Saccharomyces cerevisiae S288C: one gene and its partner. The protein of the gene in region 1 interacts with the protein of each later gene in a biochemical or structural test. Each region holds a gene or a part of one and is shown on either strand. Other genes may lie near its edges.

Evidence for each region.
Region 2: of the proteins of LAF1 (region 1) and KNS1, one has a biochemical effect on the other in vitro, tested with the Saccharomyces cerevisiae proteins (one large-scale study listed by BioGRID).

The regions. Positions count from the first base shown.
Region 1 is NC_001145.3:469,243-474,288, forward strand, and holds LAF1 (Laf1p), read right to left. Parts: upstream 3,111-5,046; coding exon 606-3,110; downstream 1-605. Other genes in the region: SRT1 (ditrans,polycis-polyprenyl diphosphate synthase), read right to left, coding at 1-234; YMR103C (uncharacterized protein), read right to left, coding at 3,660-4,022; putative protein kinase YPK2, read right to left, coding at 4,178-5,046.
Region 2 is NC_001144.5:104,887-109,465, forward strand, and holds KNS1 (serine/threonine protein kinase KNS1), read right to left. Parts: upstream 3,014-4,579; coding exon 800-3,013; downstream 1-799. Other genes in the region: SPA2 (Spa2p), read left to right, coding at 1-461; COX19 (Cox19p), read right to left, coding at 3,790-4,086. UniProt on the Saccharomyces cerevisiae protein: Nonessential protein kinase.

The DNA of each region.
Region 1 (5,046 bases):
CCGGTTACCATCCATGATAAAGGAGACATGTTCAGGCACTGGCCCTACCCTTAATGCTTTTATCAAAATATTCTGAAGATTTACATAAAACCATGAAAACAAGCTTAATGACATAACCCACGCAAATACTCTCTGAAATATACTTTTCACTGCGAAGCACATCTGTTCTTTGGTTTCTACCAAAAGCCTTTTTAGGGCTACAAACTGAATCTGAATAATACTGGGCATTTTCATTATGGTCAACAGAAACGTCCTATGTTTGAAAGGCAGCCTGTTCTTTATAAGTTGATAAATTGAGAAAAGTGCACCAAATCTTAATCTACTCTGTGTGTATTTTTAGGTCCCTTAAATAACAGAAAAAGTATAGCTTTAGCCGCCGAGGTCCACTCAGTTTGGAGTAGTTACCCTTAACAGGCACTCACTCCGTTTTGTTCTTTCGAAGAGATACGTTATAGTATATCGGCAACAAATGATAGGCTCATTGTTAGCGTTCATTAATTATTAGATTAAAATTTATTTAAGTGTATCGTGTTTCTTTACTTTATGTACGAAGATTAATATGCATTTAAAGGTATCATCCACGGAAAAAAAATACTCCATCAGCGTTAGCGGAAGTTATTAACTACTGTACCGCAGTCTACGCAATAATAGTTTCTATCTTGTTGGTCATTAGCACCAGAAAAAGCCTCAAACCTTGAACCGTTACAAACATTGCAACGGATAGGTAAATTCATTGCGCTCGTTGGAGTGGTAGGCCCATGTGCATTGGAGAAAATAGATGACATGCTTTCCCTTGGTGTTCTTGGCTGTGCATTACTGCCGAGTGTTTTTAGTGATGTACTGCTTTTGGGACATATATTAGAGTATCCACGTCCCGTTGCATAGCCTTTTCCAGTATTAGTATACGCCGCTGCCGGTTGGCCAGCCAAGTTTGATTTCGCTCTCGAGTTGAAGCTTCGACTCAAAGAATGCAAAGAATCAGAACTGTTAAACCTTCTCCGAACCTCTCTATTGTATTCTTCTAGTTTGAGTAACACGCGCTTTCTTATAACAGAGGGCATATCTGCTCTAAACACACGAATAGTCCCTACGTTATCAGTACTGATCAATATCGTTCCAATTGCGTCAACGACATCTGGGATAGCACTGGTGGCGGAAGCATTAGAAATTGAGCCTGGTTTAGAATTGTAGCCCAAAGACGACTCTACATCTGACATTATGCCATCGTCGTTACTCCGACTCAAAACATCGAAACTATCGGATGTCTGAAAAAACTCTAGAGATAGCTCGCAGATAACATCGTTAGACAAAGATAATGTTTTCGAAGTTTCTGGCGGTGCAATGCTAACACAAGTAACAGGGGCATTGTGTGCATGAAAAGAAATGTAATCCGTATTTTTGATATAATGATCGTTGCTATGATGAGGCAAGGGAAGTAAGTTAGTAAGTTTTAAATGATGATGTGGTTTTTCTTCGTTATTCTGGCTGGAAGACCTACTCATTGATTTACTAAATATGCTTCTCAAACTTCCGGACCGAGCCAATCCCTTTGGTTTCCTTTTAGGTTCGTCTTGATCATTCTCTCTATCCGAAGACTTTAACCTCCAGCCGTAAACCCAATGGTCATCACTACTATTTACAACGATTGGCTGACCATGCCAGATGGACAATTGTGCCTTGTGTTGGGAAGATCCGCTATGGAAGCCTTTCAATACCTCTAGAAGCTTCCTCTGTTCTAAGTCAAAAATTCTTATCCTCGAATCATTCGATGTAACTACTAAGCGGAAAGAATTGTCCAGTTGAGATCTAAAAGCTTGCAAACCCGTCACACGTGGACCATGACGAATTTTTGAGTCAGTTTCCGTGACCATGACGTGAGCGTTTTGTTCTTGTGTTTGTCTATCAGCTACGTGAAATGAAGAAACTGGAGTGAGACCTCTGGTCATCAGAATATGAACGTATCCATTAAATGTTCCTATTATAGTGTATTTTCCCTCCTCAGGGGATAATGTAACAGATGTTATTAAGTCTTGACAATCGTACTCAAAGCTAACTTCATCATCCAGTATAGACCATAACCTGCATTTGTGATCCAGACAGCCGCTAATGAAAAATCTATCGTCGGTGGGGTGAAATTCCACACAAGTGACAAAATCAGGATGTATGAATGTCTTAAGTGAATTTTTCCTATCGGGATGCCATAGTTTTACTGTCTTATCCATCGATGCTGACAAAATAAAATTATTTTTAGACCAATTTATATCCAGAACATCTTGCACGTGTTCTTTATACAGTCGCAAAGGCGTTGGGTGAAAGACAGGCGCATACAAATTCAATAATTTTTCCTTCTCTTCGTATTTCTCTGTAGCAGAATCCAAAAATTGTTTTTCTTTTGGATTGTTCAATGAACTGACCTGCTGTTTGATCCGCATCGACTTGGCTCGTGCCTCTTTATTTGATTCCGCACTCGAGTCCAATTCGGCTCTTTCAACTGGAGAGCCAATAACTTTCCATATTCTTATTTTACCATCTTTGCTACCAGTGGCCATAAATTTTCCATCGCGGCTAAACTTTGTACTCCATATAGCTTTAGAGGTTGGTTCAGATGATTTGGAAGTGGAGGTAACCGTTTCACCTTCGTAGGCCATTAGTTCTTGCGCGAGAAACAATCTTCTAAATTGTTTCAGGTTTTTCCGACGTTTCAACATTTTAATGTATTTTGGCTCTCTCAAATAGTTTTCAAATTGCTCTGTATCAATGGAATTGAAAGGGTAAAACTCATTGACCCTAAGATTCGAATTTAAAGTATTGCCTCTCTGTAAATGTTCCTTTAGTCTCATAAATGAATCAGTGGCGTTGCCGTTGTTACTATATTTTAATTTGTCATTTGTATTATTAGTTTTTGTCATTCTGAACTTCAATGGCTCGATATCTGCAGAATATTCAAGATTTAGTTTGCTTTTACTTTTACTTTCACCGGAACTGGACTCGCCGTCGAAGCTCTCTTGATGCGACCGACTCTCCTCTTCAGATCCAGTGGTATTCGAGGAATTGCTGAATTCAGAATGTACCTTGCTTATACTTGTTTTATCCTCCGCCATATTCGTCATATTTCTAATTCTCGTACTATATTATACGCCACTACCGTATACAATATGCCAAGAGCTCAGCAACTGCTTTCTATTCTTTTTCTTTGATTGTCTTTGTTCCTCTTTTCCCTCTTTCTTTTCCTCCTCTGTTTAACAAGTTGGAGAGAGTTGCAGTCTTGTTCCCTATACGGTCCAGCTGTGACTTGTACGAACGCGTATTGTATCCCAGGAAGAAATAATGATGTAACTCGCTTACGAAGCTTAAGAAAGGGCAAAAAAAATGTGTCCCCCCTAACTGCGAAAGTGAAAAAAAAAAAAATTAATGCGTTGAATTTACACAGTTCTATGTATAATTAACTGCTACGATAGAAACTGGACAGTAGTAAGAAAGATTGGACTAGGCATCACCCAGACTTTACTTTTTCGGCATACATATCTATTTATATATAGTTTAATACGTAAATACAAATATATATATACTGTAAATTTTAATCATTAAGCTTTTCTTTTTTTTTTGTTCACGCTTTCACCCTGTGAGGCGAATGAGGTTAGCTTTTTCCCTTTACGGGACTAGGTAAGGCTCCCCATGGCTGAGCCCGCGCAAGGAAATCCAGGATCATCCGCGGAAGAAATAAGCTGCTCCCGGCCCAGACTATGTAAGAAAAGTGGCAACAAACAGAAAAGCGAATCTTTCCTTTCAGGCAATGCAAGGGTCCTTTGCCGTTTGGCGAATTCCGGTAACCTCGACTTGCGCCCCGCGGGCTTCGCTTTGACATCCGCGGGTATAAGCGTCCGTCCTTCGGCCGACAACAGGTCGGTCTTTGATCTCAATTCCGTAGATGGAAGAATTCTGATAATGCTGTAAAAGAAATGAATAAGCAACATAAGTCGTGTGAGAGTTGCTAAAAGAAGAGCGCAGCCTCTGCGGACCATTCTATTTTCTGTAGTTCTTCTTGTCCCCGTTAACCACAATAGTAACGGAGTGCGTATCGCAATCTACTTGAACTATCCATTTTTGAAAATTGCAACCTCTTGCGGCTATAGCTATAAATTCCGTCCGGCTCGGCTCGGCTTGCTTCGGCTTGCTTCTAACTAATGCTTCTCCCCTGCGAAGGAGAATCACCCAACTGTTCGTCACCAATGTACGTCCACCCACCAAACTGCTTTTGAATACTTGCACTTAAGTACTCGTCCACTACACTATCGATCGGTTTTTCCTTAGTGAACTCTTGATCAAAATTTGCAGTATCTATTTCACTCTTTACAATTGGCTTGTAAGGCGGAATATAGCCCTTCAAAAGTAGCTTTTTCCATGAGATGTCTTTAAAGAAAGGATGGTTACGAATTTCATCTGTACCGTTAACGCCGAGTCTTCTGCTTGGGTCTCTGCTTAAGAGGCCAATTAATAGGTCTTTTGCCGCAGGGTCAAATCCATCAGGAAATAGTAGCGGTTGCTGCAGAATTTTCTTGTACATAACAGGAACGTTCTCATCATAGTATGGTGGCAGCCCTGTCATCATCTCATACAGTAAGATACCTAATGTCCACCAGTCAACTGTTTTAGTATAGCCCTGCCCCAACAAGATTTCTGGTGCCAAATATTCGGGAGTACCACAGAAAGTGTCTGTTTTGTCATTATCCTTCATGTTCAGCTTGCAAAGCCCAAAATCACACAGTGCAATATGTCCTTGGTAATCCAATAGAATGTTTTCAGGCTTTAGGTCACGATAAATGACGTCAAGTTTGTGTAATGAATCGAGAGCACATAATAGTTCTGCAATATAAAAACGGGAGCGTGCTAGACTGAATCGTCCCTCGTGTTGTAAATGGTAGAACAGTTCACCGCCATTAATGAAAGCTAATACTAGGTACAACTTCTCCGGAGATTGGAATGAGAACTTCAACGGAACAATAAAGGGGCAGTCAACTCTTGCTAGGACAGTCCTCTCCGCTAAAG
Region 2 (4,579 bases), on another chromosome or scaffold:
CGGATAATACACTATCAGAGTTACTATTGTATTTAGAACATCAAACAATGGACGTCATATCCACGATTCAATCGCTTTTGACATCGATCAAGAAACCACAGGTGACGAAGGGTAATTTGAGGGGAGAATCGAATGCAATCAACCAAGTCATAGGTCAAATGGTGGACGCTACTAGCATATCAATGGAGCAAAGCAGAAATGCCAATTTGAAGAAACACGGTGATTGGGTGGTGCAAAGTCTAAGAGACTGTTCGCGTAGAATGACAATTTTGTGCCAATTAACTGGCGATGGAATACTAGCGAAGGAAAAGAGCGATCAAGATTATGCTGACAAAAACTTCAAACAGCGGTTGGCAGGGATTGCGTTTGATGTTGCCAAATGTACAAAGGAGCTGGTAAAAACTGTAGAAGAGGCAAGTTTGAAGGACGAAATAAATTATTTGAATTCGAAGTTGAAGTAAAGTTAGTAGTATCTAGAGGAGAAAGAAAAGGAAGACAAAGACAATCAATAGAATGTATTATGTATGACATATAATAATAATAATTATAATAATAATAATAATAGTAGTAGCAGTAATAATAATATTATTATAGTATATTAAAACAACAAAAAATTAGTAAAAATACTATAAATGTTTGAATATGAAGATATATATGTAGGAAGAATTTTTATTGAATATAGAAATTTAAAGAAATATTATTAAAAACCGGAAAATGAAAAAGAAGAGTTAAAAAAAAAAAAAACGGAACTAGTAAAAGATGTGAAAAAAAGAAGAGAAAAGTAGAACGAGAACACCCACTATCCTTGGGTATTATTATAAGTTGCAATACCATCATCCAGTATGCCCAGATTAAACCATTCATGGTCCAGAGCGTCCTTTGCGGTAATCCTTTTTGTTGGGTCGAACTCAAACATTTTCCTGAGTAGATCGATGAACCAGTACCAAAACAAGAAAGTTTCCTTATCGAGTTCATCAGTAGTTGAGGAAGAAGAGGAATGTGTTTGTCTTTTCCATGCCAATTTCGAATTTATCAAAGACCAGTTTTTCTCCGGCGGTAGATTCCAATTGATGCTTAAGCTATCGCCGTAATCCTGTTTCAAGACCTTTGAGATGTAAATATCTAAGCGATCACATGACTGCAAGACCCTTTTCATTGACTTTTCGGTGGTTATGGTATCTCCGCGTTTATTTTTTTCAGGCCATTGTAAGCTTAAAGTTTTTCTGTCGAAATGCTTTATCACCGTTGAATTTAGGTCTGATGGAGAGTTGCCCAATTTATGTTTAGATTTGTAAAACATCTTATCAATAATGTCTGTGGGGAAAGGGGTTCCATTGATTCGTTGCATCATAGCCATATGTTCTAGATTTTCATGAATGGGGTAAAGAGATTCGCCAATAACCAGTTCTACTAGGACACACGCGATGGACCAAATGTCGCAGGGGAACGACCAGCCCAAGCCAAGGACAATTTCCGGGGCTCTATAGTGACGAGTGGATATTACAGGAGGATGATATTCGTAATGGAAAATTGCGCTACCGAAATCAATGATTTTGATTTCTGGATTTTTCAAGATTTTGCGCTTCCCCTTACTGGCTTCACGGCGTCTCTTGCTTAGCGACTGTACGGTTTTCAAAGGCAATTTTTGAGCAATATGGGTTTCGTCACAAATCAGGATATTTTCTGGTTTCAAATCCGTGTGTATTATGCCCAAATCGTGCAAGAAGCAGACAGATCTGATTAGCTGTCTGGCAATGGCCTGAATATGAGAGCCGGGGAACCTGGCAATGCCGTTGGAGCACATAAAATCGTAAATGGACCTGCCGTATAGATCTGTCACCAAACAAATGTGATTTTTGTAATCGAAGCACTCCCTTAGCAAGAGGCACTGGAACTGACCTTGAGGGTCATTATTCAGGATAGTCTGTAGAATTCTTAGTTCTGTTTTGGCGGCTTCTCTATATCTATCTACAGCCCTTATCACTTTTACAGCCACGTAATTAGGTTCATACTTGTTATCGATGCATTTAAGTACTTTACCAAACGTGCCTTGGCCCAATAGGTCCTTCACAACAAAGCGGCCGCCACTGCCAAATATGTCGTTTTCCTGGTAAACGTAGTGACCGTCTTTGTCCGTTTTGAAATTTGATTTATTGGATGATGCGCTTTCTGAAGAGCCGTTTGATGTAAATTTCCGTAGTGAAGAACCAATTTGTTTCTTGAGGTTGGATTGAGGCAGGGAAGCTATTTGTGCTGGTGGGTTGGAAAAGGGAGAAGTGCTGTGAGCAATCGTGAGATTCACTGCCTTGTTGCCCTCCAGAGTCTTTGCACACGACCCCGTTAGATGCAACAGCTCATTTTCAGTTTGCGTTACTCTTGGCACGATAGCGTTGGTTTGATCAGGAACATTAAAATAGTTCGATTGGTAGCTCAGCTTCGATAGAGGCAACTGAGGCAGTGAGATGGTTCTTTGCTTCTTGAATTTCTTTGGTGTCGTGATATACGTACTATTGCTTGTAGCTGCGGTACCGCACCCTGGATTATTTGAAGTAACAATATTATTGTTGTTATTGATACTGCTGCTACTAGGCAGAATCAAAGGTGACGAAAACTGAATTGGCTGCTCTTTGATAAAAATGATGTCATCGTCAGCATCCTCGTCCACTCGACTACTGTTATGATTATTACTGTTATTGATTGTGGTGTTAATGATACGCGGCTCCTCGTCTAGTTCTATGGCATTTTCATTGTCCAAGAACAACTGGTGTTGGTGTTGCCGAGGACGGAGCGGATTGTCTGCTTGATTCAGGTCTAGACTGTTCCTCAGATTGTCTGTTAGAAAAGAATTTTGCCGAGCAAACATCTCGTCCAGCAGCTTGTTTGTGCGCGTTTCTTCGAAATTATCCAAAAAGGTCTTGTTAGAGCTTGTATTGTTAGCAGGGCCCGTAGTAGTGGAATTATTCATATTTGCTCTTGAACGTTTTCTAGTGCCAATTTGAATATTCTGTGACATAACTAAGGTACGCGGAAGATAAAGCAATAATGAAGAAGAGCAGTATGCGTGTAGATTAGTCTTTGTTGTGCTAAATCTTCGACTTGGTAAATACTATGTTTCTTTCACTCTTTTTCTGTCTCCCACTTTGTTTCCTTTTTCTTTTTCTTTTTTTTTTTTGGGTTTGCTTGCTATCTGGCGCAGTATTTCGTGAATATAATATCTATTTAGTTAGCGTAAGCACGAGGAGTTACTGCACTGTTTCCTTTCACTTGGTGGTGAGGTAACAATACTTTGTAAATCCGGTAGATCTGGGAAGTAAATACTAAACTTTATTCTAATATAGGAACTTCATAATATAAAATCCAACGCACGATGCTAGAGATAAAAAAAGAGGGTGGGAGATGTGGAGCCAGGATTCAAATCGAAAATCGTAATCGGAAACTAAACCAGCATTGCAACCGGGCCATAAGCCATATCGTTAAGCACGCCAAAGCTTTTTCCCTTCGCTGTGTGTTTCCTCGCAACTTTAACTCCGGCCACTCACTAAGCCAAGGCGTGAGGAGAGAGACTAAAGCTTTGTGGAAAACCGCCCAATCACGCTGACCCCTTTGGCCCGTTTGCCGCCCCCTAGAAAAAAAAGAAACGGACGGGCCTGGGCCCGCACAGCCTCGAGCAGGGTCACTTCGCGCCATATCGGCGGCTATTTCAAAAAAAGAAGTTCTTTACCAGTTGTTGTAGAAAGTATGATATTACCAACAGCGTCTAGCTTTTATTCGATATTCCGATGTGGGCGGCTATTTATTATCGGTGGCGTCTTTTATGGTTTTACCGTTGTTGCCTGGAGCATCCTCAGGAAGACCTAAATGTGACCATTCATCGTAGTCCATCAATTGGTGGTCCATCCTGCACCGCAGGTAGTCCTTTGCCAGTAGTCTACAATTCATTGCATTTTCGTTCTGCACAAGCTGCATACATTTGAGATACTCTTGCATGTACTTGGTGCATTCGCCGTCGTGGTCTAGCGGGAACGAACCTCTCTCGGGTGGAGTAGGTCTCAATGCGCTCAGCGAGCTTCCTGGGTTCCCTGACATTGGATTCTTGTGTTATGTTTCGTAAAAGATACTTTGTGTGTAGTGGGTGCGTTTGCTTGTTTTCTTGAAGTATAGAAGAAGGAAAGAACGGAAGAAAAAATTTTTTTCCCTCTTGTTCGCTTTATTTGGATTTTCTCGTTTCTCAACTCCGCGAATTTGAGCCCTTTTCTTAGACCCCGGAGAGAAGATGCAGAGATGTAGTAATAAAAGCTTTTTATCCAAAAAGCTTTTAAGCTGTTGTTTTAAAAAAGGTTAAATGGGCGCTTTAGAGATCGGGTAGTGGGCAAAGCCTGCGATAAGAAAAGAGGGAGCGTGCTACTTGACCGGGAGCAGCAAAATGGGCGGCCCGAGCCTTAGATCATACTCATCGCCGATAAGAGTCAGCTTGGTAATAGAACCGCTGGTGCGTAAATGAGGCATAGAACTTATTATCGTCTTAAAAAACTGCCCAAAAAAATATTTTCCAGGTTTCTTGAAGAGTAATCTTGTTATG